Linked DNA regions of Mus musculus: regions 1 and 2 are each reported to be linked to region 3. Evidence: microRNA targets listed by miRTarBase, many of them from high-throughput screens and not tested one by one. Region 3 holds a microRNA gene; each other region holds the end of a gene's coding sequence.
What was found. The annotated mature microRNA mmu-miR-3082-3p reads CACAUGGCACUCAACUCUGCAG and lies in region 3 at 4,568-4,589, opposite strand. An mRNA with a match to its seed (bases 2 to 7 or 8) in the 3' UTR can be bound and repressed. Matches are read on the target gene's strand: a 7mer-m8 pairs with bases 2 to 8, a 7mer-A1 pairs with bases 2 to 7 and ends in A, and an 8mer does both.

Region 1 (9,792 bases), not on the chromosome of region 3:
AGGTCTGAAGACAATGTTGGGTTCCCTGGAGCTAGAGTAATAGGCAATTGTATGCTACTATGTGTGTGTGCTGGGAATCAAACTCAGCTCCTGTGCAAGAATACTAAATGTTCTTTCCCACTGAACCACCCATCTCTCAAGTCCAGAAACAAGTTCAACAAAAGTTTATTTAAAGATTAAAAAAATGTACCACTGAATTTTCAAAACTGAACTTTGAAATGTGGCTATAATTGTGTCCATGTTTGTTTTCTTTCCAGAAATGTGAAGACGTTTGGGTGGGAATGCCATCACCTATTCCTGTGAAATACGTTAGATACTTAGACTTTTTGATTGATGTATATGGCTTAGAGGACAACATGCTATGAAGGTTTTGATCAACTCTCTTTGATTTACTGTTCTCATTATGCCATGTTTATTTTAATAAATATAATTTCATTTAAAACAAACAAAAAATAAGAAACAAGGTTTGTATTAAATGGAAATTCATAAACCACAATTAATTTTCTTTGTCACTGTAGTTCCTCAGAACAGCTTGTTATATTGTTGATTTACCAGCACTATTAAAAATACCATTTAAAACATTGTTGACCATTTTATTGTATGTATTATTTATGAATGCCAAAGAATCTTACAATAATTTCCATCTAATATAATTCGATTCATTGCAATGTGAAAAGAAAATGACTTTTGACAGCTATGCATGACAATATAAAATCAAATTATATCAGAGCAATAAGTTGAGATTCTGGTAAGTATTTTTGAAATCTTTTTGACACATGTTTATTACTTACATAATTAAGTTTTGTAGCAATGAACCTCATCAAAATAATTCTCAAACCTCTCTAGAGTGAGTGTATATTTTCTAAAGTTAGTGAAGTTATGGGGAAAAAAAGCACCTTCTCTCTGCCAAAACACACACACACACACATTTAAGAGAGAAATTAAAACATAGGCTGTATTTATAATTTTAGTGTCTTTTAATATCTAAACTCAGCTTCTTAGCTTAGTAATATATGCATGTGTATATAATTAGAGCATGACCAAAAATGTATTATTTTAAAATATTTAGGGATATGATTATGGAAAGTTTCAAAGGTTTGTTTTGCTTCATTTTGCATACTTACTACCAGCCTCTAAAACTCTAGCCCAGAGGTTTAAGTAGTTTAAAATTACAATGGATCTCTCCTGCATTTCCCTGGTTTGAACTTTTCCCGCACACATTTGTCATGACACACTCTTGTCATACAGTGTATATCTGATTACAACCTATCACAGTGGAGCTTCAATGTCTAGAACTCTTCCCTATGCCATGCCAGGCCATAGTGCTGGGTGCTAAAAATATCATAAATGTATTTGTCTCAAAGGCAGTGGGAGTCTATCAAGAAAGGACTGTGCTTGTTAGGGGTCATCCTGAGGAGAAGAAGAGGAGTCAAGGCCATTTCAGGGTCCCCTTCCAAGAAGAAAGGGAACTCCCTTCTCCTTTCATTCTTCACTTGGAGCATTCCCTTGTCCCCAGATGAGTTGGCTCCTACTTTTATGATCCAGTTTGCTTCACAACAATGGCTCTTTCATTTTCTTTTAATCAAAACTAGCCAGTAAATTACTTCTCTTCATAAACCTAGGACAATTTCATGTGCACCATCAGAATTGGTCCCATAGAGCCACGTATTAAACTAGAATTCACAAGTTACAGTGGGCCCATAAAACTCTAATTTTGATGGCTTGGTTTTGTCCCAGTTTTTTTTTTTAAGGTAACTAACAATGCCAAGCTATTTTGTCATTTTAAGGTTATTCTACTTCCCAGAGAACAAGCTTTTAGAAGGGATAACATGTGCCTAGAAGTGTTCAGATTGACACATCTGTCACCTACCTATTCAACCCCTCACTCAGTTATATTTCCCCCATTTGACTGCTCAGATAATTTAGCCCATGTGTAGACTTTGTAATTCACTTGAGAAGTGGGGGCAAAGGAAGTAAACCAATGATAGTGTGCCTGAGTACACGGGGTGACGACTATTTATCCTAAGTCATGGATCTGTGTTCCTGCCCTGGTGGTTCCTGGTTTAAGCTCACAATTAACAATAAAATGGCCATTATAGGAATCATGCCGATAAACATGATACATTACAGCCATACAGACACTTTAAATAATTATTCATTTTATAACTAAGCCATATACTGAAGGAGATTTATAATTCAGAGATAATATCCCCATTAGTAAAGTTTATGACCCAATAAACAGCTCCCACTAGTTAATAAATGCCAAAGCCATAAAAACAAAGACTATTAATGTAATAGAATTTCTGTGCCTCCCTCTCTTGCTGGTGGTCTGAAGATACTGAAGGAAAATGCTATCTTAGGAAAAACATTTATTCTCATTATGTAAATATCAATGAATGGTCTTACACTTGAGTTGGAAATTTCCCAGCTCCCCTTGGTCACAGGTGGTCCCTAAATGCTAATGCGTTCTGCTTAGGTTTCAAGCAGCAGATAACCATTTTTAACAAATAAACTCTATGACTCAAATCTTTAGGGCAGATGGAGAGGGGGACCAGGATTTCTGCCTCTTCTTTTTATTTCTGGGAAAGAGAAACTCTAGGTTTCTTTACCTTTGTATAAACCGATTATTACCTCTTAACATTTTCTTCCTGTGGTGAAAAGCAAGAATTACATGTGGGTGTCTGGGTGAGTTGAAGGTTAATATAGGCAAACCTTTTGTCCTCTGAACTAATTGATTTTTAGTATTATTGGAGTCCTGCAAATGATTGCTAAAGTTATTTGGAAGCACAAATCAAGTCATGACTTTTAGTGCAAAAGTAATTAAAAGATGTTGAAGTTCAGAGTAGTGAGATGCTGAGTCACTGTGTGAAGAAGCATGCTACTGTCAGAAGATGACTAATTGGCAGTATTACTTGGTCTTTTCCTTGTCACCTTTTTTACCTATTACCTAACCATCTGAAACAGAATGCAGATAAGCCTATTGCTTGGCTTAGCAGTTACTAAATGGTTGAGATTTTAGACAATAGAGAGGAAGTGAAGAGCATTATAGTTTTGAACATATAATAGTTGAAACTGCTTTTTTCTATATACTGTCTTTGATTCAACTAATATCATATATAACATTATTGGTATTTTTATACTGTGTTACTGAATTTGTTTCCTTGGGGTTATAGAGCTTCTAGGCTTTCTGGATCCCTCAATCACAGTTTTAGAATATTTAAATTGCCCTTCATTCATCCTTCCTTCCTTCAAATATCAGGTAATTGTTGATGAGTAAAACAAGACCTCATGTTGTTCAAAAACAGAGCAAACAACATTATTTTTAAAAATTGGGGAAAATCCTTGTCTTTCCAACTTGGATTTATCTCAGTTTGATTGACACCTACTTTTCTGGCCTTTCAGCTGCTTTTATTCCAGCTGCTTTCGTCCTTCACCTTGCTCTTCTTCCATGCATTATAAATTTTCTAGTTATGACTTCAGTGCCTGGAATCTAAATGAACAAGTCATGTTCCTCACAAAATATTTATGCTATTGAATAATGTAGAATCCATCCAATAATAAAATGCCAGGGTCTTAATGGTTTGTGCACTCCCTTTAGATATTAGTCTGGATCCCTGAATTTTGAATGTCCTTCAACATTGTTCTATAAATGGTCTTTCAAACTAACGGCTTCCAAGTGATGGCAAAACCCACTGATCCTAGTGATGCATCCATCTCTGTCCTCAAGTTTACTTGACCAAACACTGAATTGCTTTAAACTGAAAGCAGGTTAAGACCTCTTCAAAAATGAGTCTTTTCAAGTTGACTGAGCATCTTCAGACACACAGTGCTTTTCAATTCCCAAGAGAATGTAATGTGTAAAAACTGGAAAGCCTACTGAGGCAAGATCAATAAGGCTATTGAGCAAATAATCAACCTGGGGCAATAATGGAACAAGCATAATTATCACAAAGGATAGCACTGATGGTAATTAGTTTAAAAGAATCTTCCAGCTTGCTTTTGCCTGCCTTCTACCAGGTTAGATGTTGGTTTAAATATACATTTGTACTTTGTGACAATTAATTCTCCCAAAGTTACAGTTCGCAGACAACTTTGTTAAAGAATGGCCAGCATGGGTACCTTTTTTTTGCATCTGTTTTCTGGTCCCCAGTTAAATTCTTTCCAAGGACACTTTAGAACCTATTGTGTGTCTTGTGTGTGACTCACATAGGAACCCAGGGGTCAGCTCTGCTGCTCAGAAATAACTGATAATGGCTAAGAAATGTGCTCTATGAAAAACTCCATAGTGGCTCTGCAAGCAGAGAATTAATGGCTCCCCAGAATCAGTGGGAGCTTTGACTTCTAAACACTCATTAGTTAAAGCAGTGAGGCCTGATGTTATGCAAGTTAGAGATGGAAAGAGGGACCACTCCTCCCTATTGTCTATTCTGAACAGAATCTGCACATTTAACTCAAAGTGCTGAATAGATCAAATACATCAAACCAACTATTCATCAATCTCCCAGCTTCCTGAGCACTGTTTTGCATCTGTGTAAAGCCAACAATACGACCCCACTATAATATTGAAATTCAGAGGAGTACATGGCTTGGTAAAAACACACAGAAAAAATGTATTCTCCTTTACCAAAGTCATCTTTCTGTTTCCTTTTTCTTATACTGCCTATGCAAAGGACCTTTGACTGCCGTAGGGACTTGGCAGAATTACTTTTGCCTGCTTTTTCTTTTTCTCCCATACCACTCTGGCTTGTCATTATTACTGTGAGGCCACCCATGGGATAGAGAACAGGAGATGAAAATATTGCCAGTTTTAACTATGATCAGACCCTACAGAGAGAGAAGAAAGACAGCAAGAAACAATTGCAGGGAGTTCCAGAGGAGAATGGAGATCATCACCTGTGTGTGTGACTCAACCTTAAAGAATTTGACCTTCATCTAGAGGGATGAAATATTACTGGAAAATTTGGATCTCTAGCCTGAAAAGATCATGCCTGGATTTGAATATTATTGGCTGTATTTGTGTGTGTGTGTGTGTGTGTGTGTGTGTGTGTACTTGTAGAGCTGAGCTTGGGAGGTGAGAAGGTTTGATTAGATGACTGTTGCTAGAGAGTTGACTGATGGCTTGGATTAATTTTGGTAAGATTGTTGAGAATGGGAGTAATTCGTGACACAATTGGGATGGTGGAGATGAGAGAGTGAAATCACAATTATGATTGAGTCCTTTTGACATCTGGGTAGAAGATGTTGGTGTTCACTGAACTGGGATGCATCAGAGAAAACTTGGATTGAACGAAGTCAAGATTTTTGCCTGGGGCTGGCAAGATTTTTCTGTACATAAAGGCACTTGCCACCAAGCTTCCTCCACACACTGCCCATTCCCCTGCTCCATGTCCCAAGTTAAATCCCTGTAGCCTACTTAGTGGAAGGAGAGAAACAACTCTGAAAAGTTGTCCTCTGACTTCCAAATATGCCCATGCATGCAGAAACATGTTTACACAAAATACATAATTTTAAAAAAATAAGGATTTTACTTGAAGTCAGAAGTGGTGACACACAATAATTTCCACCCTGGTGAGTTGAAGGACAGCCTGGGATATGAAATAAAATTCTTTCTTACTTGGAAAGTAACAGAAACAGATTTTTTTAACCTTAAAATGTGGGTAACTTGGGGAACTGAAAAAAATGACAAGTTTTGATAAGGCAACCTGATAAAACAGGTCTGAATTTTCTTTTTCTTTTCTTTCTTTTCTTTTCTTTTTTTTTTTTTTTTTTTTTTTTTTTTTTACAGAATGGTATGGGCTAGGCCTACATTATTTGAGTCATTAGAGTGCTGATATAAGAAACACGGTGTTCATTTTAAAGAAGTTTTTAAAGAAAAATCTCAGTGCCAGATATTGTTAGACAGGCTGCAGAGGTCCCCAAAACAATAAAAGTTTTTGCCACTGCCCTTGGTTACCTACCATAGCTATGTGGTAAGACTCTGTTGCTGAAGACACCACACACTTTGTTTCCTAGACATAAAATTCTTGAATTGGCCAGAGAACTCTCTAAACTGAGCAGCTTTTATAATGCTGAAAGGTGTTATGGAGGTTGCTGGGGAGAATAACATCAATGTTCTTATCCAGCACTGGACCCTGTGTACAATACTGGTCTATGAGGCAAAATGTGCCCACTGATGCAAGACTATACATGGTAAAATCTTCCTTGATTGTACTTAAGGCCACACTACGGGAGGGATTTCATGCCTGGCACTATAAATATGGCCAAAAACCAGGACCAGGAAAATAAAAGACCTTTGGGGAAACACCTATAGTGTTGTTTTTCTGAATGGCCATGTTGACAAACTGCCTTATATTATTTGTTTATTAAAGTTTGTGCTGCCCCCAGCCTTGGTCAGTGAGTAGTGTTTAACATAGAGATGCATTACTATTCAGAGTGCTGACAATAAGTGATTGTGAGAGCTCAGCCATAGATGGTATCTATTTCAACACTTTCTCAAGGCTCATCATACAAGGAAACATCATACAAGAGGGAACAGAAAGAACATAATCACCAGAGAATGGAGAGAGTTGCTGTGAAATGCTGTCCTGTAGCTGGCAGTGGCCACAGAGAACTGGGAATTATGGTGGCTGGCAGCCACACCTGGCTTAGGTCTGTGTGTTTGTCTCTTATCTATCCTGGAGGACACAAACAGCGTGCTTGTGTTTATTTGCACAAACATGTCCTTTTAGTGTTTCTTATGAACAAACATGGCCATTTAACACATGCCCCTGTCTTAGGTTGATAAGAGTCATAGAACATCAGTGTCCCATCTTTGACTGCCAGCCCTCATAGCACACTTTTTTCCCATTCAGACCAAAGCCACAATATGCACTGAATGCATTTCTTCATAGCGATGAATAACTGCCATGGTGAATGACTGAGCTTGCCAAAGATGATCCTATGTGAAAGCGAACCAATCTGCTTAAAAAAAAAAAAAATGGAAAGTTAAGAGCAAACAGGATTAAGGTTGTCTGTGGGGAATGTGCCAAGCACTCAATTCAGTTGTACATTAGCAACGATCAGACACAAGACCTGTCCTCCCAGTATGGGGGAGGTAGTTTTGAGAATCAACAGGAAAAACTGTTACTTCTCAGGTAATAGTGGAAACTAGGCTCCAAATTAATTCAGCTGGCTGATAAAGATGTTTATTCATCTTCATAATTGGAATCATACTTACTAGAAGACTCAGTATCTGTGTCCACTTGACGAACCAATCTTTCAGGCAGCCACCAGGCTCCATCTTCTTTTTGTGAAAAAGCAAAAACAGAACCTTTCCCCCATATTAAAATGGGATCTGTACCATTCCATGTATTAGTTAGGAGGTCTCGCCATATAACCATGGCATAGAAGCTGGAAGTGACTGGATGCCAATGGCGATCTGCTGCAGACTGACCTTTAGCACCAGTTTGCAAAAAGCTTAAAACAAATAAGACAAAGGCAAGGTGTGCTTTTGGTGACATTGGAGGATATAATTCGCCCTTTTTTGATTTTAAAGAAGATACTGTTTTAAAGCTCCCCAATACCTTGTCCTTGTGAATTATAAGGAATCCCAGTAATATGGGTAACATTAAATTGCTAACAAAACATCTCAAATGCTTGACCATAATAGGCAGTTCCATTATCTGTTTTAATCTGATTTGGAACACCAAGCATAGGAAAAATAATCCAGGCAATGACCAAATACATTTTTAGCTGTGTCTCCTGTTAAAGCAGTTGCAACTGGAAAGCATGAAAAGGTATCAATAGTCACATGTGCATATTTTTTATTTTTCTAAAATCAGAAATATGAGTATCTATTTGCAATAATTGATTAAGTATAAGTCCTCAAGAATTAACACCATTATATGGAACAGGTAGAAACTGAGGACATTGAGAACAAGTCTTTACAATTTGACATGGACATTCTCTAAAAATACCAAATTATTATCTCAAGCCATTACTATTTTGATGATGTAAAGAATGTTATATGGCCAATTGTTCCTGTGTATGGCCTATAATCTGCCTGGGATACAAATCTGCTGTGGCATTGCCTTAAGAGGTCTTATCCAGCCAGTCCAGGATGAGTTCCTAAATGTCCAAAGACAGTCCTTTAAAGGGATAGTATTCTCTTAACTTGAGTTGTATATGCATAAACAACTGCAAAATTTGAGAATTAGCAGTATCTAAATAGGAACAATTTCAAGCAATTCTAATCCCTGAGCAAGATATATATATAATATATATAGTATATTTATATGTATATATATATATATGTTGTGTATATTATATATATATCAGGATACAAATTAAAAGCTTGATTTTTCAACACTATAAAAGCAGTGGTTACAACACATAGTCTTATTATTTGTGCTGAAGTAGAACGAAACTCAAAAGAATAAACATGTGATCCAATCACATCTACTTCTCTTCCATAGAAGGGCTGTTTGTAAATACAGTACATATATTCTTTATGGGATGCATGCATAAATTTACAGAAAATACAAAAGCATACATACAGGCACATTTTAACATATTGTCTTTTGTATAATGATTATCAGTTTTGCCTAAAATGTTAGCTATGCAATAGGCCAAATATCAGCATTCTTTAATAACTAATTTATTTACTGTTTGAAACAAGGAATAGATGTCTCATCAGGTTTTTAAGACATTCTTTCCAAAATATTTTCATGATTCTATTCTACAATCCTTTATTAACACCACAACAGCTTCATAATAGGACATTAAAACTTTACTTGGATTGCAAAACACATGAAACTCAAGAAGAACGAAGACCAAAGTGTGGACACTTTGCCCCTTCTTAGAATTGGGAACAAAACACCCATGGAAGGAGTTACAGAGACAAAGTTTGGAGTTGAGATGAAAGGATGGACCATCTAGAGGCTGCCATACCCTGGGATCCATCCCATTATCAGCCTCCAAACGCTGACACCATTGCAAGATTTTGCTGAAAGGACCCTGATATAGCTGCCTCAGTAAAAAAGTCCCCCATAGCCTCCCCTGCCCTGCTCCCCTACATATCCACACCCACTTCTTGGCCCTGGCATTCCCCTGTACTGGGGCATATAAAGTTTGCAAGACCTAGGGGCTTCTCTTCCCAGTGATGGCGGACTAGGTCATCTTCTGCTACATATGCAGCTAGAGACACGAGCTCTGGGAGTACTGGTTATTTCATGTTGTTCCACCTAAAGGGTTGCAGACCCCTTCAGCTCTTTGGGTACTTTCTGTAGCTACTCCATTGGGGCCCTGGATTCCATCCAATAGGTGACTGTGAGCATCCACTTCTGTATTTGCCAGGCACTGCATAGCCTCACAGGAGACAGATATATCAGGGTCTTTTCAGCAAAATCTTGCTGACATATGCTATAGTGTCTGCATTTGGTGGCTGATTATGGGATGGATCCCCGAGTGAGGCAGTCTCTACATGGTCCATCTTTTTGTATCAGCTCCCAACTTTGTCTCTGTAACTCCTTCCACCGGTACTTTGTTCCCTATTCTAAGGAGGAATGAAGTATCCATGCCTTGGTCTTCCTTCTTCTTGATTTTCTTGTGTTTTGCAAATTGTATCTTGGGTATTCTAAGTTTCTGGGCTAAAATCCATTTATCAGTGAGTGCATTGTTTTTAATAGCTGAGTAGTACTCCATTGTGTAAATGTACCACATTTTCTGTATCCATTCCTCTGTTGAGGGACATCTGGGTTCTTTCCAGCTTCTGGCTATTATAAATAAGGCTGCATGAACATAGTGGAGCATGTG
Region 2 (10,029 bases), not on the chromosome of region 3:
CCTGATCGGTCTCATCCACCTTGGCTTCGGCAGCGTCCTGCTTATGGTTCGGCGAGGCCACCTGGGGATGCTCTTCATCGAAGGTGGCGTCCCCTTCTGGGGAGGAGCTTGTGTGAGTGCGGGTAGCCATCCTCGGCTAAGGAGTGGCTTTGCCCAAGTCACCTCGCCCTGTCCCACTTCCGACATTTTCCTATCCATAGCCTATCGTATGTCAGAGTTTTACTCACCCCTCACAAGACTAATATGGGAGTAATAGCTATCATCACTATTCTACCAGAAACTACGGGTGAGGAGCAAGCAGGCCAGTGTCCTAATCACACCTGGGCTACCTGAGTCCTAACCCCACAACCATACCCAGCCCCCACCCCACCCCTGCTTCTCTCTGTGGGTTCCAGCCCTGCCTGAGCTGGTCCGTAGGGAGTCTCCCTATCCAATGTCCATTCTTCTGGTCATACATCACTGGAAAACCAAATCAGGGCTACCTTGTCTGCTCTGAGGTCCCAAAGAGAGGGAGTTTGCAAGATAGCCCTGCTGTCTGTGCCTTACAAAGGGGCCAGTGCCTCTGGGAATGGGGAGCCTCCAGCTACCTCCAGGAAGCACCGGCTTTCTGATGAGCTTAACGGGGTCTTCATTGAGGCTCTGCTGTGCATGACGGTAGAGTCCCCTCTGCATATCCCAGACAGTCTCAGCAAGAGCTCAGAAGCCCCTAAAAGTGGAGGTCAGAGACCAACATTGCTGAAACTTCACAGCTACAGCTAAATGGCTGGGAACAAGCTCTAAGCCCTGCTTCTAGTGGTCCATAGTGGACCCAAGAGGGAGGGACATGTTGGCCAGCAGGAGTCTAAAGTGGGCACTGCCTTGGGAAGAAACAAAGGTAGCACTGTTCTTTAAAATCCCTCCTGCTTCAAAATCTGTCACAAATGTGTGCCATTCCCATGGTAGGAGGGGTAATAAACGCCTGTTTGTCAGTCTCTCGAGAGACAACAGGGTCCTGCGGCCTAGGCGGGGCATATGTAGCTTTTATCTTAAAACTTCACAGGGCCAGGGAGAGAGTTCAGTGTGTAATGAACTTACACGGCAAGAGTGAGGGCTTGAGTCCTTACCTCCACCACCCTTGTCAAAAGCCCACCTGGGCTGGTGAAAAAGAGACTGACAGCCCTTCTCACAACTCACTGGTCAACCACCTGGCATAATCAGTGAGCCCAAGTCCACATAAGAAGTCGTATCTCAAAACCGAAGTGGGCAGTTCCTATGGAGGAATGACACTCAAGGTTGACCTTAGCACAGAGGCACGCATGCACAAGTACACACACACAGAGGCATGCATGCACAAGCATACACACATACATACAGAGAGAGAGAGAGAGAGAGAGAGAGAGAGAGAGAGAGAGGCATGCACATGCCCTCATGTGTATATGAGAGAAGTAGCTCTTCATTTTATGTTCTTGACACCCAACTGCTACTTGTTAAGTGAATATTAGAAGGAAAGGTGAGTGTACTATGACACTTCAGTAATATACCGTCAACGAAAATGCATACCTAGTAAACCATGGCTTGAGGTCTCAAGACAGAGAGAGGCCTCTTTGTGTTTGTTTTTGTTGTTGTTGTTTATTTGTTTGTTTGTTGAGACAGGGTCTCTATTTGTTGCCCTAGCTGTCCTAGAACTCACTACATAGAGCAGACAGGCCTTGAACTCACAGAGTCACTTGCCTCTGCCTCCCAAGTGCTGGGATTAAAGGCGTGTGCCACCATGCCCAAGGACAGGGGCCTCTTACAGAACCACTAAGATTAGGACTATATCCAAGATGCCTGGCCAAGATGCAGACAAGGAAGTTGATGCCCCTCTATCTGTTACCTTCTTGATGGGACCTAGGTATGATGCTCCCTGCACGTGTCTCAGCCAAAACCCCATTGGGCTCTCTCTTCCCCACACAGTTTATCATCTCTGGGTCCCTCTCCGTAGCAGCTGAGAGGAACCACACCAGTTGCCTGGTAAGTCTGAATGGACACAGAGAGCCAGGGATAGGGATGGTGCCCACCTACCTGGGTGCCACTCGGGACCCCGCTCCCATCTGCTCACTCATTTGGCCCATTCAACAAGCACTCCTTGGAGATTTTCTAAGTGTCCACAGAAGGAATTTAAACATCCACATACAGAAGGAGGAGACGAGACACTTGCAAAATGCCACCCAAGGTAGATGGTAAGAGTCTAGTGATAAAGTCTTCACAGACTTTCAGAGGAGGCAGTCGCAGGAAGGGTCCCCAAGAGAATAGCCACCAAGTTGTTAAGGTAGATGGGCCTGGGCCTGAGGGAAGACAAGTTGGGGGTTGGGAGGGAGGTGGCAGATGCATGCTGCAAACATGTCCCAGGAAAGCCACTAAGAGGGTTAGGCCTCCTTCCCAGAAGCTCCCAAGAGGATGGAAGAAGCAGAGAGAGGCATCAGGGCCTTTTCTTGGGGTCTCAGGGAAAGAGAAGAGAAAGAATGGGGAAAGGAAAACCCAGCCTCCTCCAATGCTAATGGCCCCAAGCCCCTAGGCCGGGAAGGAGGGTGCAGGAGACTGGGCACAGTGAGTGTCCTTTCTCCTCTTTGCCTCTTCTTGTTGCTCCTCTTCCTCCCACAGTTGAAGAGCAGTCTGGGAACCAACATCCTCAGTGCCATGGCAGCCTTCGCGGGGACAGCCATTCTTCTCATGGACTTTGGTGTCACTAACTGGGTGTGTTGGCAGATGTCCCAAGGGGTGATAAACCCAGAGAGATGAGGGTTATAGCCAGGACTAGGGAAGACCCAAGAGTCTGCAGTCCTGGGCTAGTTGCAGAGCCTGATGCTCCAGTAGACCTCATGAGTGTACTGACACCTTGACCCTACCCCACGTCGGATGGGGAAGGCAGGGGAAGGGAGATGAGACCCCGTAGAATGGAAGGAGTGAGGCCCAAGGCTGGAGTCAGGAAGGCTGGAGCCAGGTACACACATCTGCCTCTTGCCTGGGAAAGTTATTCTTGGTCCGGGGGGGGAGGGGGTCTCTTTACTTTTAAACGCTCTGTTTGCCTTGACTGTGGGTTTGGGTTCTCAGGATGTGGGCAGGGGCTACCTTGCCGTGTTGACCATCTTCACCATCCTGGAGTTCTTCATCGCTGTCATTGCCACCCACTTTGGGTGCCAAGCCACCCGTGCTCAAACTAACGCAGTAAGTATTCTCACACCACGTCCAGAGCCCCTGAGGTTGCCTGTTGTCCAGGAAGAGGTTACTCCTGCAGCCCCTCCCACTTCCCCTTTGTGGCTGAGCTGTGATGAGAACCTCAAGTTTTGAAATGGGACTATTCACCCGTGGCCACTGGGGGCGCCAACACTATAGGCAGAACTGAAATTCTTCTGGAATCAGAGGACAGGGTTGGGGAGGGCGAGGCGTGCACCTTGCACAGAGGAGCCCACAGACTGCCTACAGATGGACACATCAGAAAAGACAGCATGTCTCAGTGGAAGCTCATTTTTCCAGGGGAAAATAGGAGGCGGGTGGAAGAGAGTGGGAAGAGGGGGTTCTGATAGCGCAGAGGCTTGCCTGGAAGGAGAATGTAGAGGATGGCAGGTGCCATTTAAAGTTGGAGCAGGAGGATGAACTAGATTAAAGGAGCCCAGTGAGTGACTACTACTGTGAGAGCAGCATGTTCAGGCAAGAACTATAGAAGCCCCGGGTTCAGCAGAGACTATCCAGAGAGGAAATATCAGCTCACTAGCCCCTAGGGGAAATGAGGTTTTGTCTACTTTGCTAGCTTCAGTGTGTCCAAGTCCTAGCTCATAACTGACCCTAGAAAATGTTTGCTAACATGTCAGTTACACGATGCTTTTGTGTGAGAGAGCTGCTGTTCTCTGAATACCCACGGGGTGGCACTATTGCAACGCTCCCCGAAGACCGCAGAGCCACCCAAAATTTGGGATTTTTTTTTTTTTTTTTCTTTGCAGTCTGTGATTTTCCTACCCAATGCCTTTGGCACGGATTTCAACATCCCCAGCCCAGCAGTCTCTCCACCTCCTGCCTATGACAACGTGGCATATATGCCCAAGGAGTCATCAGAATAGATTACAAGTTCTGCAGGTTGAAGTCCAGGCTTCCCACTTTACCCAGAGCCTCTCCACCCTCACTTTGTCCGTTCTAAGGCAGCGGTTTCCCAGCGAGACTCTCCAAGCCATGTGCACTGTGTCACTGAGTGACATGTTCCATCCATTTCCTAGTTCCTCCAATACTGTCTTTCCAAAAAAGGCATAAAGCTGGTGTCCAGGGTGTGCCCATTCTCAGCCCTGTCACCTGACATAGACGTCCCGTACACTCCTCCTCAGTCCTCTGCTCATCGTGGGAAATCTTGGCTTCGCAGAGGTTTCGGAGGTTTGTCTTCAAGATCATTAAGCACGGAGAACTCAGAATGTTCCAGAATAGACTGGCATTTCAGAGGCTCAGAGCAAGGCTTGACCTCCAGGCTCCTAGCTCCGAAGATCAGCTCTGTCCTTTGTCATCTGCTGTTACATCTTTGGGATTTCATTTTCCCACCCGGAAACTAGAGTGTTAAACTACACCACATAAGACTAAGGCGTGATGGCGCACGCCTTTAATCCCAGCATTTGGGAGATTGAGGCCAGCCTGGTCTACAGAGTGAGTTCCAGGACAGGACAGTCAGGGCTACACAGAGAAACCCTGTCTCGAAAACCAAAAAAAAGCACCTCTTGGCTAAGCCCTGCATTTCTCTTCTCCACCCCGGAACCTCCTTCTCCTTATTTGTAACAGAAGATTGGCATTGACTCTGGCTCTGCCCACCTACTAGGACAGGAGGCTGCAGAGGAGACTGAACCACTCCATACTCCCCCAACCCTGCCTGAAAAGCAGGAGTGCCCCTGAGAGTCACCACTTCAGCCCAGTGTTCACAGGCCCTGACATATGGCTTGTATCATCTATACTTTGGAGAAAAATAAACAGCGTGGCTTAGATTTTAAGTTGGTCTCAATGTGGTGGCATTTGCTTTTTAAGTTTGGGATCTTCTGAGGGCTTAATCATGGTTAATCGGAGATTCAGGCAAGTACCCCCATTAAGAGCAGGCAGGATATGGTAACTTCTTACAGTTAGGGACATCTCCATGCCTTGAATTCGATGATGATCACATGGGTAATTGCATATGTGAAAATCAACTTGTGTGGAGACAGGGGAGATGACTCCGTGGTTAGGAACCTGAGTCTCTGTGCTCAGCATGCAAGTGAGAAGCTGGGCACAGTGACACGGGTCTGTAGTCCCAGCACTGGAGAGGCACAGAGTGGAGGAACCCATGGGCCTGCATGGCCAACAAATCTATCTGAATCAGTGAGTCCCAGGTTCCATGAGAGACCTTGGGTTGAAAGTTAGGATGGGCAAGTAAGAGAACAAAGGAAGCCTTCAGAGGCCTGAACTCGGCGTGTGGACGGAGGAGAACGCTAATGAGATTCCACAATACACGGAACTTACATACATGCTTGCCGAGTGCTGACATTAATCACGAGTAGGCTTTAACAAATACTAATGAATTCAAGATGTGCTGACTGTACGCACGTCAAAGTCTTACCAGATTTGCCCAGCCTCCCACCTCAGTCTGGTTCGGATGCCCCTTTCTTTTTTCTTTTTCTTTTCTTTTTTTTTTTTAAGATTTATTTATTATATGTAAATACACTGTAGCTGTCTTCAGACACTCCAGAAGAGGGCGCCAGATCTTGTTACGGATGGTTGTGAGCCACTATGTGGTTGCTGGGAATTGAACTCAGGATCTTCAGAAGAGCAGTCAGTGCTCTTAACCGCTGAGCCATCTCTCCAGCCCCCCAGATGCCCGTTTTCTAACCATCTAGATCGTCATTACATCATTAGCTTCATGCTTTTCCCACTGTTCCTTGATGTCATCTCCCATGATTCCCTTCCAACCTGTTCATATCTTGACTGAGTACTCAGAACCCACAATAACCACAACCAAGTTTATGCTGAGACAGACAGGAATAAGAGATCTCAAAATACCATCTGGGAACAGGCATTTCTGTTTCAGGACAATGAGCAAAGGTTCTGGATAAAAATCTGAGAGAAGAGGGCTGGAGAGATATCTCAGTGGTTAAGAGCACCGATGACTGCTCTTCCGAAGGTCCGAAGTTCAAATCCCAGCAACCACATAGTGGCTCACAACCATCCGTAATGAGATCTGATGCCCTCTTCTGGTGCATCTGAAGACAGTTACAGTGTACTTAGATATAATAATAAATAAATCTTTTTTTAAAAAATCTGAGAGAAAACCTAGTCTAAATAATGGCAGATATTTCTTCAATAATTTCTGTTGGAGAACCCTAGCTTGCCTAACCTCAGAGAGTTCTGTTTTTACATAGGATGAAGCATCGATCTATTATCAAATACCCAAGGATCCTAACTTTAATAAAGGAGAGAGATTTATTTACCTCGCTGTTCTGGAGATTGAAGGTCAAACGTTCACGTACAGTGGTGAGTCTGTCCTCCAGGCAGAGTCTAAAGGTGGCACAAAGCATTGCTCAACAAAAGGCAGGAAAATCATGCATGCGAATCTGATTCTTCTCTGTTTCTGATAAAGTACTAGGATTCATTTATGCCCTCATCCCCATAGCCTTCTAATCCTAATCACACCCCAAGGCTACCTACCCCTCAGTTTTCATCAGGTTGAGTTTCTGACTGATGACAAACAGGGTGGCACTTCAGTGCGAGAACTATAGGGGGCGCTCTCACTACTCCCAGGGGCTCTTACTTAGCTCCCTATTTGGTCATTCCACAGTTGTTGACTATACTTAATAATCAAAGGTGGGTGGGGCAAGGAAACAAATTCTTGGCCTTATTCCCACAATGAGTCAGTTCTGCTCAGAGCAGGTGGGAAGCTTTTTAAAAAGCTCGACTCTTATTTATTTCTTTAAACATCACTAGCTCTGCCTGCTTTTAATCATCACACAAATGAAATTATATAGTATGTGTGTATCTTTGTGTCTGACTCTTTTGACTGAATGAAATGTTAGAGATTTATCTGTAACATCTTATATTTTTATTTTATTATTTTCAATACTATAAACCTTTTGTTTTATTCTATCAGTTTAATTGATTTACCTGTTGATGGATAACCAGGTTAATTCCATTTTGGAGCATCGTCAATAACACTAACTTTAGTGTGTGCACGTGCCTCTGTGTGTGTGCACGTGCCTCTGTGTGTGTACACGTGGTCTCACACACACACACACACACACACACACACACACACACACACACACAGTAAGAAGACTGGAGAGACAGCTCAGCAGTAGTTAAGCGTACTGGCTGCTCTTCCAGAGGACCAAGGTTTGATTCCTCCCGAGCACCCACTTGCCACATGGCAGTTACAATTGTCAGTAGCTCTAGCTCAAAGGGATCTGACACCCTCTTCTGGCCTCTGAGAGTGCCAGGCACGCATGTGGTGCACAGACATGCATACAAACAAAAACAATTATACATATTAAATAATAAAATCGTTTTTTAAAAAAGAAAGAAAAGTAAGATAGAGAATAATACACACAAATAAACCAACATACACATATATACATACAAATTTACCTAACTGCATATGCTGCATACACTTTAATATGTATATTAAATATTAACAATTAAATGTGTATTCTCCGTCTTTAAAAACCAGAGGAAAAAGATAGAAAAAGCACAGTAGTTATCTAGTTCTGCATGAGACAGACTGGACAGCTTGAAGTTACACATTCTCATCTCACCATGTCCATGGTCAAGATCCAAACATGCCTTAGATATAAGTTCTCTGTAAGTCACATGCGCTGCAAGCTTGGTGGTGGCTGGACTTCACTCTCAATCAGGGCTTCCTGTTACTTGTGGTCACGTGACCATACCTTTTAAGACAAACACTACCATGCTTACACAGATGACAATACATCTGTCTGGCTTACCACCAGAGACCAAAGTCAAGCAAGAACTTAGGATGACCATGGCTGGTTTGAGGAGGGACACAAGGCCCAGGGCAGGGTCATTGTAACCACTATTGTGGATACTTTAACTTTCAAAAAATTAAAAGATTCTTTGAGGGGCCAGAAAGGTGTCTCAGAAGCTAAAGTTACTGCACAACCTGACAATATCCGTTCAGACCTCAGCACTGTGGAAAGGTGGAAAGAAGGAATCAATTTCACAAAGTCCTCTGACCTACACACACTCACACAGACACACAGACAGACACACAGACACACATCAATCACACACTCATATCAGCCACCCACATCAACACACACACACACAAATAAAAATTTGAGAATTTTAATAATCAACTCATTCAAATGCTGCCTTCACCAACTTGACAATGAACTGCTCCATGAACTGAAATGTCATCACTGCAACATTAACTGTCTCAGCTGTTAAAGGGAGACATAAGGAAGGAGACTCAGATCTTCACCTGCCCAGGTTTGGAAGCAGATGGTTTTGAAGGATCTAGTCCAGACATGCATCTCTGATTAGCTGGGAGTGTGAGCAAGGGGTGGGTCCCAGAAAGAAAAGAATCCAAAGTCTAAAGCCATAAAGATGTTCTGATTTCCACCTCTGGCTCTGTGCTGAGGCAGCTCTGGATGGTCAGGCACAGCTGAAGCCTACAACAGAGTTCCCGGGGCCAGGTGAGTACCCCCTCTCCACAGCAGAAACAAACAAGGGAGGGTCATCAGGGCCTCAAGTGGGGTTCAGTCTTAACACAAGAGATCAGCCTCTTGTGCTCGTCAGTCAGTAGCTGCAAGCTGGTGGTGAGTGGCTGAAACTTGACCCCCCCAGAAGTGAACAGGAACTGTTTATCAAGCAATGTCCACAACAGCTGGAGAACAAATGTTCCATGCTATGAAGTCCTGGGAAGTGGGGTTACTACGGGCCTCTCTCCAGGAAGGAGTCTGCTACCAGGAGCCCAGCCCACTACCCAGGATCAGTTGGTGATTCTGAGAGCTAAGAGGAATGACACCCCGTCCCTTCTAACCCTGGAACCTTGAGCACACAGAGAGACAGATTTGAAAAAGCAAAGCAAGGAAGACACTTGGGAAATTCCACCCTCTTTTTCCCATATCTTCCCTTTACACCAAGTGCCCAGCCCTGAGACCTCGAGAAAGTTTACTTTGCAAATGCCAGGGCCCCTTCTGACCTAACATAACTGAAAACCCAATCTTCTAAGGGTGGCTGCCAGCAGCCACTCTGTCACACTGACTCCATACCTCTCGGTACCTGCCTTTCTCTGCCTAACATGCCCATACATACATCTACATATATGTACATATATGTGCACATATTATATACACATACACACGTATGTGTAAACACACACTACACTACCCTCTCTGCTCTCTTGACTTCTTCTGCACTGTCTGCTTAGGGTCACATTCCCATCAAGATTTTCTCAACCTTCTAACCCAGACCTCCCATGGACAGATCTTATCCATTCTAGACATTCCCTGGCAACCAGCTCATTGCTCTGCAGACAAAATCCTGAAGGGCAGTCCTGTGTGCTCCCAGATAACTGTCTCCACACACTCTCCTCGACACAACCTTCCCAGCTATCAGGATCCCATAGCTGATTTCCTCCTTGCTCTGAGCAGGAGTCAGATAGAAGCAATGAACTCCCCATCCTGGAGATTAGAATGGGACCTCTCTTAACAGAAAACCAGACAGAGGTCAGGTGAGATTCAGGCTGTAGGGCAGGTATCATTGGCTTTTATTACTAAATTCTAACCTCTGGCCCTGGCCCAATTAATCTTTGCAGCCCACCCTCAGGCAAGCACTAGTGTTCCTGTGTATCCATAGAAACAGACTTAGACACTGAGATGCAGGAGCAGAGCCAGGGCTAGGCCTGGCCTGTCTGCTTGGAAGATTCATGTTCTGGCCCACTAAAAGGTTACAGAATCCTCCTAGCTCTGTCTCTGCCTCCCACAGGCTAAGGAAACGGGAGAGATTTGCAGAAAGTCTGAGGCTGAGTATAAATCACCAAGACCCTACGGTTCC
Region 3 (10,029 bases):
TACAGCCCGCTCTTCTACCTCGTTCTTGGTGTTGGAGCTGCCTTCTGCTCTCTCTCTTCCCCATATCTGTTCCATTGCTAATCTTAGCACCAGACACCTCACAGATGTGCTACTGTAGAGTGGACACTGCTCTTTCCAGGGGCCAGTTTCCTGGGTGGTAGTAGATCAGGCCATGGGTTGGTATATGACTCTGCTCAGGAGATGGAGACCCCTGAGTGGTTGGTCCCTCCCCCTAGGTGGCACAGACATGGACCATGTTACGGATTATCTACTGTAGCCCTGGCTTGGTATCCTCTGCCAATCTCAACCACAGCGTCGGCAAAGGCAGCTCCTGCGGCCTACCGCTCATGAACAGGTAGATCCTTGGCTACTTCCTGCCCCCTCCCCAGAGTGGACTGCCGGGGCCTGGCCACCCACAAGCCTTCCCTTCCTATAGCTTCAATCTGAAGGATATGGGCCCGGGGCTGGGCAGTGAGACACGGCTGGATCGCAGCAAAGGGGACACACGGAGTGATGCGGCGCTGCTTGACTCTTCAGCCACACTCGTCACCAATGAGGGTAGGCAGGGATGCTGATGGGAAAAGGCTGGGGTGCCACTCCCTGAATGACCTCCCTTCCCTGCTGGGCAGATAATGAGGAAACAGAAGGGAGTGATGTGCCTGCTGACTACCTGCTGGGTGACGTAGAAGGAGAGGACGATGAGCTGTACCCACTTGACACAGAACATGTGCACTGTGAGTAGGGGCTGGGTCAGCTATAGAGGGGTCCAACCCAGAACATGGCTCTGTGAGCAGGAGCTGAGTGGAGCGGGAAGCCTACACTCAGGTCCATCTTTCCTCACCCCTGCCTCCCAGCCGAGGAGCCTGAATATGTGCTGCCACAAGAGGCCTTCCCACTGCGCCATGAAATTGTAGACACACCATCTGGGCCCGAGCATCTGCAGGACAAGGCGGACTCTCCGCACGTGAGCGGCAATGAGGCAGACACAGCTTCATTAGCCCCGGTGGACTCCTCCTCCTCCCTCCTCTCCGTCTCACATGCACTCTATGACAGCCGCCTGCCACCTGACTTCTTCAGTGTATTGGTACGGGACATGTTGCGCTTCTACGCTGAGCAGGGCGACGTGCAGATGGCTGTGTCTGTTCTCATCGTGCTGGGTGAGAGAGTGCGAAAGGACATCGATGAGCAGACCCAGGTGTGTGATGGATCGGGGCGGGGCAGGGGAGGGTCTCCCCAGACTGGCTGCTGGTTCCCTCATCTGAGCCTGTTTCTTTTCCACTGTACCCCCCCCCCCCCCCACACACACACCCTAGTGTTCCTGGAAACACTAACCTGAGCCTGTCCCTCCCCACCAGGAGCACTGGTACACATCCTACATAGATCTGCTGCAGCGCTTCTGCCTCTGGAATGTGTCCAATGAGGTGGTGAAGCTGAGCACCAGCAGGGCAGTTAGCTGCCTCAACCAAGCCTCCACCACGCTGCATGTCAACTGTAGTCACTGCAAGCGGCCCATGAGCAGCCGCGGCTGGGTCTGTGACAGGTGCGATGGTGCAGTTGGGGAGGTTGGAAGGGAGGCAGCCCAGAGCTCCCCAGCTGAACAGCCCTCCCATTCCCAGGTGCCACCGCTGTGCCAGCATGTGTGCTGTCTGCCATCATGTGGTTAAAGGCCTGTTCGTGTGGTGTCAGGGTTGCAGTCATGGTGGCCATCTTCAGCACATCATGAAATGGCTGGAAGGCAGCTCCCACTGCCCTGCAGGCTGCGGCCACCTCTGTGAATACTCCTGACCTGGCCTTCCCTAAGGCTGATGCAGCGTCCTCAGCTCGATCCCGATGTCCACCGGACTAGGCTCACAGCCCCTTACCCATCCTGTGTACCAGGATGGAAGGTGGCTACAACTTTTTAACCCAATAAAAATCCAGAGCTGCTGTTTGGCCACTTGTCACTTTCATTGCGCCTTGGGTGGGAACTTTCTAGCACATGGGAACTTCCGGTAGGGGCGCTGTAGCCATGGTAACGCACAGTAGTCAATGGCTGCTCGATACAATTTTCCCTCCGCCTTGAGGAAATGATTAAATAGGGATGTTGTGTGGATGTGTGTGTGTGTGTGTGTGTGTGTGTACAATGCGCTTGTATGAAGAAGGAGGAGACTTCCAAGGCCGGCTGGCTACTGCTTGCAGGTAGCTACAGCAGTCCGGATGATAAGCCAATGGCTTGTGGTTACGCAAGTGTCGACAGAATTCCCAGCGTGCTGCGCGCCTGCACCCGTATGTTCATGGCGGCGGCTGGGCGGCGCGGTCTGCTTTTGCTCTTTGTACTATGGATGATGGTGACTGTGATTCTGCCTGCCTCTGGCGAAGGGGGATGGTGAGCCATAGGAAATGGGTGGCGGGAGGGAGCCTGAACTTAAAGCTTTGACTGGCCTGACCTGTTGTCCCTGCAGGAAACAGAATGGGCTGGGAATTGCAGCAGCAGTAATGGAGGAGGAGCGTTGCACAGTGGAGCGTCGGGCACACATCACGTACTCCGAATTCATGCAGCAGTATGTGTGCCTGCCCCAAGTCTCAGCATGATTCTAGGCATACTACCAATCATGGTCTTTGGCTGCGGAGGTCTCACTGCCTGGTGTGTAGGAGAGGCCCCTGCAGAGTTCAAACTCAGTGCAACATTCTCCTCTTTCCCCCCAGCTATGCCTTCCTCAAGCCCGTCATCTTGCAAGGACTCACGGACAACTCGGTGAGTATTCGTACCCTGTGGGCAACTGCTTCTGTTTGGCCAAGTGCTCAGTTACCTTATCCTTCATCCCCAGAAGTTCCGGGCCCTGTGTTCCCGGGAAAACCTGCTAGCCTCGTTCGGGGACAACATTGTTCGCTTGAGTACAGCCAACACCTACTCCTACCAGAAAGGTGAGCTACACACCCTGCAAGGTTTGCCTTCACATCTCAAAGGCAGAACTGACCAGTCCCGACTGGCTCCCCCTTCTTGTAGTGGACCTGCCCTTCCAGGAATATGTGGAACAGCTGCTGCAGCCCCAGGATCCTGCATCCCTAGGCAATGGTGAGCCAGACCCAGGCAGCGGTGGGAGTGGGGTACTTGGGAGCCCACTGTTGCCAGTACTCCTGCCTATCACCCTCTCTGCTGGCAGACACCCTGTACTTTTTTGGAGACAACAACTTCACTGAGTGGGCATCCCTCTTCCAGCACTACTCTCCGCCACCATTCCGTCTCCTGGGAACCACCCCTGCTTACAGCTTTGGAATTGCAGGTAGGGGCTACTTCAAAACAAACTTGGGGGAGCCCATATATATTTTGTTCATCAGCTATTCATAACTGACCCCACAGGAGCTGGATCTGGGGTACCCTTCCACTGGCATGGGCCTGGTTTCTCAGAGGTTATCTATGGTCGGAAGGTCAGTACAGTGTTATGTGTGTGTTATGTGTGTGTGTAAATCTGGTGTCTATAGTCCATTGCACACATAGTGACCTTACACTCCTGCCTCCAGCGCTGGTTCCTCTACCCTCCTGAGAAGACACCTGAGTTCCACCCTAACAAGACCACATTGGCCTGGCTGCTGGAAATATACCCATCTCTAGCCCTGTCAGCACGGCCTCTAGAATGTACCATCCAGGCTGGTGAAGTCAGTAGCTGGTAGGTGGGGGTTGGGCTAACTCAAAAAGCCATGAATCAAAATTTTTTTTTTCTTTTCTCCCAGGTACTGTATTTTCCTGATCGGTGGTGGCATGCCACACTCAATCTGGACACCAGTGTCTTCATTTCTACCTTCCTTGGCTAGCCAGACAGGCAACTGGCAAGCCCACTGCACCAGCACATGCCAATGTAGTGCTCACAGACTTTATTACAGGACAGTGGCAGCAGCAGCAACCTCAGCCCACCCTCACCCACTCTCCAGCCCAGAAGGGGGACAAGGGAGGCTCATGGTCCAGCAAGGGGTATGCTGAGAAGGGGAGCAGTTCAGAACCCATCAGCAGGGCCGATGGGGGCAGGCCCAGGGACACAAACTATACAGGGACTGGAGCTTCCGTCTCCAGATCCTCCTGGGCCAGGGTGCCAGGCAGGACATGGGGCCTCAATAGTCCTCTACCCAGCCGTTCTCAGAGATGAAAGCGTCAATGACTTCCTTCATGGCCAAGTTGGGGATGAGCTGTTCCTGGGTCAGAGGGCTCCGGGTCACAGGGTCAAAGTGGCCCACACGCTGCAACAGAGTCAAGAGTGTTCAATGGCCTGAGTATACCGATCCGGGTACCAAGGCTCTCCATGGCCCGGTCTCCATGGGCCCTCCTTACCTGCAGGTGCTCCTCAATGTCCTTGCGGTCATAGGTGATACCACTGGGTGTAATGCAGGGTTCCCGCATCAGCTCAAAGCTAATCTTGCCACACAAGTAGTCAGGGATATCTCGCTTCTATAGCACAAGGGGAAAATGTCTAGAACTGGAGGGGGCTGTGGGGGTCACCATACCAGCAGCAGCCGATGAGCTTCCGGGGGTCCTCACCTTTCTTTTCTCGTCCACCTGAGAGAAGAGCTCATCCATATCTGCCATGTATTTATCCTGCAGAGTTGAGTGCCATGTGTGGGCAACTCCTGTCTCCACACAGACACACACACTCTGTCCACCAGGGCACTCATGTCATGCATGGGCCAACAGATCCACCAAAGGCTGGGGCACTTTTCATGCCACACACAAACACACACACAATGACCCACATGTGGACTAGGGGCACCCTCACGTGCTTGGCCTCAATGCAGGCCTGCTGGGCCCGGATGTGGCCATCATCTTCATGACCCTCGTGGTTCCGCTGACACTCCTCCAGTTCCCTGAGGGTTAACCAGAAGCTAGTTGGTGATGGCCCTGACCAGGAAATCACAGAGCCCGCCCCATCTCAGGCCTCTTTCCTCCTGGGCTTCCCATGTACCGGTTGTTGTCCTTCAATAAAAACACTTGTGCTGGTGACTCAGTGTCTGCTGGGGGAGGGACCCACCTCTCTCGCTCAGCAGCAATGAGCCTGGTGAGATATGAATGCAGCTCACTCTCCTGGTGGATGCGCCGTTCCTCGATACTGTTCCAGCGCTTCTTCTTAGCAATGCGAAGGGCACTAGGAATATCATCCCCAAAGTTGAGTCGCTGCTCCTTGGCCAAACTATAGGCTAGGGGAGTGGACACTTTTGGTTACACTTGTCAACAATCCTGGTCCCCCAAGGTGCCCTCAACCTTGCATCTTGTCAGCCCACCTCGCTGCAGATTGGCAATGGCCTCATCATAACTCTCCATCTCCAGCTGGCACTGCCCCAGGAAGAAGTGCGCCTTCACAGACTGCCCGTCCAGCTCCAGGGCTCGCCGGCAGTCAGCAAGTGCCTGTTCAGGCTGCTGCATCTTCAGATAGCACAGGGCCCGGTTAGTGTAGTACACTGCCACAAGTGGGTTCCGAGTCTGGGGACCAAGACCAGGCGTCAAAGAGTGTGGGCTCAGTTGATCCCCTCTCATTTAGCAAGCTGAAAGCCAATGATCTGGTCAATGCTCCAGCTTTGGGGGCCCATGGCTGGAATAGAGGAACTGGAGATTTCCGAATTATCAAGAGCTCTGGATTCTGGCCATGCTTTCTTGCCTCCAACTGCTTTTGAGAGAAATCCCACAACCCCTCTACAAGCTCTGGGCTTGGAAATCTCAAGGGGCAAGAGCTCCTGGTGTCATCCTTAGTCTTACTTAATCAAGCATCCCGCCCGCCAGTTCCCAGTCAAATCAGCCCTAGACTCGGGAACAGCAATCCGGGCACCAGGGGAGCGAGCGAGCCATCGAGTCCAGGCTGCCAGAAACCCTGTCCGGGATCACAAAACTGGGAGGCACATCGGGCCCCGCCCCCGCCCCTCCCGCACTCACGATGGCGCGGCCGTAGCAGGCCGCCGCCTCCGGGTACTTGCGGCCCACGAAGAGCCGGTTTCCCTGCTCCTTGAGCTCTTGCGCACTCGGGCTCTTATCAGGGCTGCCGCCGCCACCAGTGCCCAGCCGCGCGCCGCCCTCCTTTTCCTCCTTGCCCTTCATGGCGCCGCGCGGCACGGCTTGGGCTCCGCGCCCGGCCACCTAGATCTCGCAGCCCGCGCAGCGATCAGCTCCGCCCGGTCGGCGATCCGCCACCGGAACTTCCGGTGTGGGGCGGAGCTGGCATGGGGACACGTGAGCAAAGGCGGAGCCTCGTGGATTGAGCCAGTTCCCTTAGCTCTGAGAAGCTTCCGCCGCGCTCTACAGGCCCCGCCCTACAGTAACCGAGACCTACCCTGCTCAGACCAAGGCTCCGCCCATCGGCGCTCAAGCCCCGCCCTCCGGCCCCAAGCTGGGCGAACGTGGCAGCGGTCATTGAGAAGTGGCCTTCCGAGGGCCGGTCACTAGGCCCGGGTCCTAGCGCACCACCAGGGCACACACGGGCTCACGCGACAGCCTGGGAACGTCTGGACCGCCGGTAGGAAGGCGGAATTGAGGGTAGAAGAGAGGCCCGCAGATCAGACCGCTCTCGAGGGGCTTCCTCGGGAATCGGGAGGAGCTGCCTGCGGCCATTAATGGCTGAGAAACAAGCACGTGACACGCTGACACCGAAGGACCTTCTGCGGTTGCTATAGAAGTAGCTGCGGGTGCACGGCTGGACTCTTGCCCTTCTCGCGGTCATGGGGAGGAGCTTCTTCAAGGGCGGAGCCGGCTGGTTTCCTTGGAGAGCGCCTGCACCAAGACCCTTTGACCCCATGGTCTGTCGTTGAGGCATTTCTAGCCGCTGCTGCATCAGCTGTTGGCCGCTAACACCCCCAACCCCGGACTTGGAGAAGCAGAACTCGGCTTTCTGCTGATCTGGGCGCCGCAGTCAAACTTCGCTGCGTGGTTTCTGCCACTGCCTCGAGTGAGTAGGTAGCATCTTTGCCCAAGTTGGGTGGGGGCTCTAGGAGCTCAAAAAAAGCTATCCCCAGAACCTCCTTGTCACTCTTTGCAGTGGTCCTGGAGGCAGAGGTTTCTGGGGTTGCAGCTTTCATATACGAAGAGGCGGTGGCTACAGTTCCTAGCTTGCTAACCCTCCAGTACACACTCAAGCACTACTTGCTGTTTCTAGCCCAGGTGCAAGAGTTCACTGCCTTTCTGAGCGGGGCTGAGCGGGGCCTGAGAGGTCATCCAGGGCCCCATCATGGTTCTGGTGGTTAGTAACTTGACCCCAGAACCCTTGTGGACCTCACTAGTGAGTGTCTTAGAGTTGTAGACTCTTCGTCTTGTGCAAACTTGGGGGGCAGATGTATGCCCAGACCTGCTGCCTGACCTTCACCCTGACTGGGCCTCCCACAAGGACCTGCCAAGAATTACAGGACCCAGGCCAAGTGAACCTAGCTCTGTTGTGGGCTTGCGTTTGGAAGGGAGGCTGAAAGAACAGGAGATTGGAAGCTCTTGTAGCACAATAAACGATTGCTGAACTTGGACTGACCTGGAAGTCCACAGTTTCTTCCCAGGGGCCCCACCTCCTGTGGATTCCGGCCATGGCCAGGAGTAAAGCTACCACCTCAAGTCAGGTGCAGAGCTTGAAGGGAGAGAGGGAGCACAGACCGTCCTGGAGGGGAGGTGTCTCATACAGCTTGGGTGAGGGGGCAGACAAGCCTGCAGAGCCCCAGGACAGCTACCTGGTGCTGTGTAAAATATTTATTCATTCTCCAAAAAGGCTCAGACTGCAAGTCCTGGGGTCAGTGGGGAGGGAAGGGGTCTCCTCTAGGGCCACGCTCAAGGTCCTCCACCCAGCCCTGGCCCAGTAACACCCCTCCCCCTGGAAAGCCTGGGGGGGGGGGGTGCAGCAAGGGCTGCAGTAAGACTTGGCTTCAGCTGGGGGTGGGGGATCACAGGGCCCCCCTGCCCCTGTGGGGAAAAGCAGCCGAGAGGTCCATTCATATAGGGCAGACATGCAGGCCCACCTGGTGCCTGGCTCTAGCCACATGGCCCTAGGGAGCAGGTCAAGGTGGAGGGGGGATATCGGCACCCAGCAGGTCATAGGCAAAGACGTTCCAGAAGATGGCGAAAAGCAGGAAGGTGCCATAGGCAAGTAGCACCACCCACCAGCCGCACTGGTCCCTCAGGCGTTCCTCATAGCTCCGAAGGATGGTAAGGCCCATGCTTACACCTACCACTGCACCAGCCAGGTGTGCCATGAAGCTGGGCTGTGGGCCTGAGGCAGGCAGTGGTGGGGAGAAGCGTAGCCACACAGCCCGGCCCACTTCGGAACTCACTGCAGAGGGAGCAACAGGTGGGAGGGGCCCTGTCTGCAGGTAAAGGGCCTCCCAGCGCCCCACCTGCCCCACTACTCACTGCACACCAGAGCCAGCACCATCCTCAGCAGCTTGTATGGACACCGCATCCCAGCCCAGTTCTGATGGGGGCAGGCAGACAGGCTGTGAAGCATGTCCAATGGGCCCCTTCCCACCTCCCCAGAAAGGCAGTCCCATTACCATGACAACATTGGCCAGGTGTGCTGAGCACAGGGCATAGACCCCTCCAGAGCCCCCTACCACGGGGGCACGCATATCTGTGATAGAGACAGTCAGGGAGCCTGTGGGCAAAGGGAGAGGTGAGGGCACAGCTGGCCCTCCCCTCAGCAGGTGAGGTAGGCAGGGGACCCACCCACCTATATGCCAGTCTCACCTGCCAGCACGCCCGCCAGGTAGAGCAGGCTGATGCGAAGCACGCCATGTACCATCTCCAGGGGCACACCGATCATCAGCTGCAGGAGGGCATTGAACCCTAGCTGCTCCAGCCTGGCCACAGAAGAGCATGGCAGAGGTGGTCAGATGGGTACCCTGCCTACTCCAGACCACCTCAGGCAGTGTAACTTAGCTGGGAGATAAGCCTTCAGAGTCAGTGGGCAGGTGCTGGGGGTAGGAGTGGAGAAGAGGCTCTGGAAGGCAAGGCTCACTTACCCGACATGCATGAACATGTAGGTGAGGAAGCGCCATGCCCGAGCACGGTGTCCTGGGTGATACACCAGAGGGCTCTTCATATATTCAGGGTGGTAGGTCTGGAGCACCCACTTGTTGAGACGTGCCCCGTAGCACAGGAACACGATGATCTGGGGACACTAGTGTTAGGGCTGGTCAAGACTAGGGACTCAGGAGGCCCCAGGGCAATGTGTAGGCAGGCCCACCTGGGCAAGAGTGACCGAGGCCATGAACACAGGGGGTGGGCAGGTGCGGTGCCTGTAGAAGTACCAGCGGCGGTCCACCTCGCAGGGCAGGATCTCGTAGGCCACATAGCGCACAAACCGCTTGTAGACACTCAGGCCTGGCTCATCTAGCAGTCCGTCTCGGGGCAGTGCCCGCTGTCCGTTAGCAATGGCTCTCTTGAAGCTGCTGGAACGCTTGCTGCTGATCTGAAGGGCAGGAACCTTAGTGTAGGTGACAGTATTGTTCCTGTGGAACCCTACCTTACTTGGCTGTGTGGCTGCTAATGGTCTGAGGGTCTTCCACACTGCCCAGGTCTGTAAGCCCTACCCAGTAAAAAGCTGTGTGCCCACCCAGCTTTGGTCAGGGTGCTGCGCTTGACCAGGCCTGGGCCCTCCCCTGCTGCCCACACACCATGGCACTGACCAGGTCCACCAGCTCCTGGTAGCAGACCTGGCCCCGCTCGTTGCTCTGAGCCAGAGCCACCAACATGTCCAACTTGGTGGGGTCCAGGGGCAGCTCATGGCTGTGTACCAGACCAGCGAAGGTGTCCGCACCGATGAAGCCTGTGTTCTCAGGATCCAGCTGCTGTGGTGGGGGAGTAGAGGGTGGGCCAACTCCCAGCCACAGGGCTGAGCTAGGCTGGCTAGGAAGGCTGGACCTTTGTGCCAGTCAGTGCCTGTTTGCTAGAACCAGCTTGTTCCCAGGCCCTGGCAGGGCAAGGTGCCTGGTTTGGCTGTTCTACCACCTCATATTCGCTCTACCAGTCCTAGAAAGGGGAAGGACCTAGGTCCAAGGACCACCACCCTCCATCCCCAGCTTTCCGTGGAAACCCGATGAAGC

Region 1: miRTarBase lists Efhc2 as a target of mmu-miR-3082-3p. Seed matches in the 3' UTR shown: 7mer-m8 at 406-412.
Region 2: miRTarBase lists Ms4a15 as a target of mmu-miR-3082-3p. Seed matches in the 3' UTR shown: 7mer-m8 at 4,183-4,189.

The regions. Positions count from the first base shown.
Region 1 is chrX:17,122,838-17,132,629 of GRCm38, reverse strand. Efhc2 (EF-hand domain (C-terminal) containing 2) reads left to right here. Exons shown (of 16, transcript NM_028916.5): 16 at 258-581. The coding sequence ends at 365. Among named protein-coding and RNA genes, the nearest start is that of Gm4203, 12 kb to the right of the region's middle.
Region 2 is chr19:10,973,256-10,983,284 of GRCm38, reverse strand. Ms4a15 (membrane-spanning 4-domains, subfamily A, member 15) reads left to right here. Exons shown (of 7, transcript NM_001034898.2): 3 at 1-112; 4 at 1,936-1,992; 5 at 2,623-2,715; 6 at 3,073-3,186; 7 at 3,960-4,978. The coding sequence ends at 4,076. Ms4a10 (membrane-spanning 4-domains, subfamily A, member 10) reads left to right here and starts at 8,585. Exons shown (of 9, transcript NM_023529.3): 1 at 8,585-8,666.
Region 3 is chr17:25,826,799-25,836,827 of GRCm38, forward strand. It overlaps Mir3082 (microRNA 3082), which reads right to left and starts at 4,630; the gene lies at 4,567-4,630. It overlaps Jmjd8 (jumonji domain containing 8), which reads left to right and starts at 2,245. Exons shown (of 9, transcript NM_028101.5): 1 at 2,245-2,365; 2 at 2,442-2,540; 3 at 2,686-2,734; 4 at 2,808-2,904; 5 at 2,987-3,055; 6 at 3,144-3,263; 7 at 3,341-3,408; 8 at 3,502-3,636; 9 at 3,712-5,045. The coding sequence starts at 2,274. The coding sequence ends at 3,792. Stub1 (STIP1 homology and U-Box containing protein 1) reads right to left here and starts at 6,121. Exons shown (of 7, transcript NM_019719.4): 1 at 5,894-6,121; 2 at 5,248-5,446; 3 at 4,998-5,163; 4 at 4,746-4,833; 5 at 4,511-4,567; 6 at 4,304-4,420; 7 at 3,836-4,212. The coding sequence starts at 6,055. The coding sequence ends at 4,087. Wdr24 (WD repeat domain 24) reads left to right here. Exons shown (of 9, transcript NM_173741.3): 4 at 237-355; 5 at 437-558; 6 at 630-734; 7 at 855-1,195; 8 at 1,356-1,540; 9 at 1,617-1,932. The coding sequence ends at 1,785. It also overlaps Rhbdl1.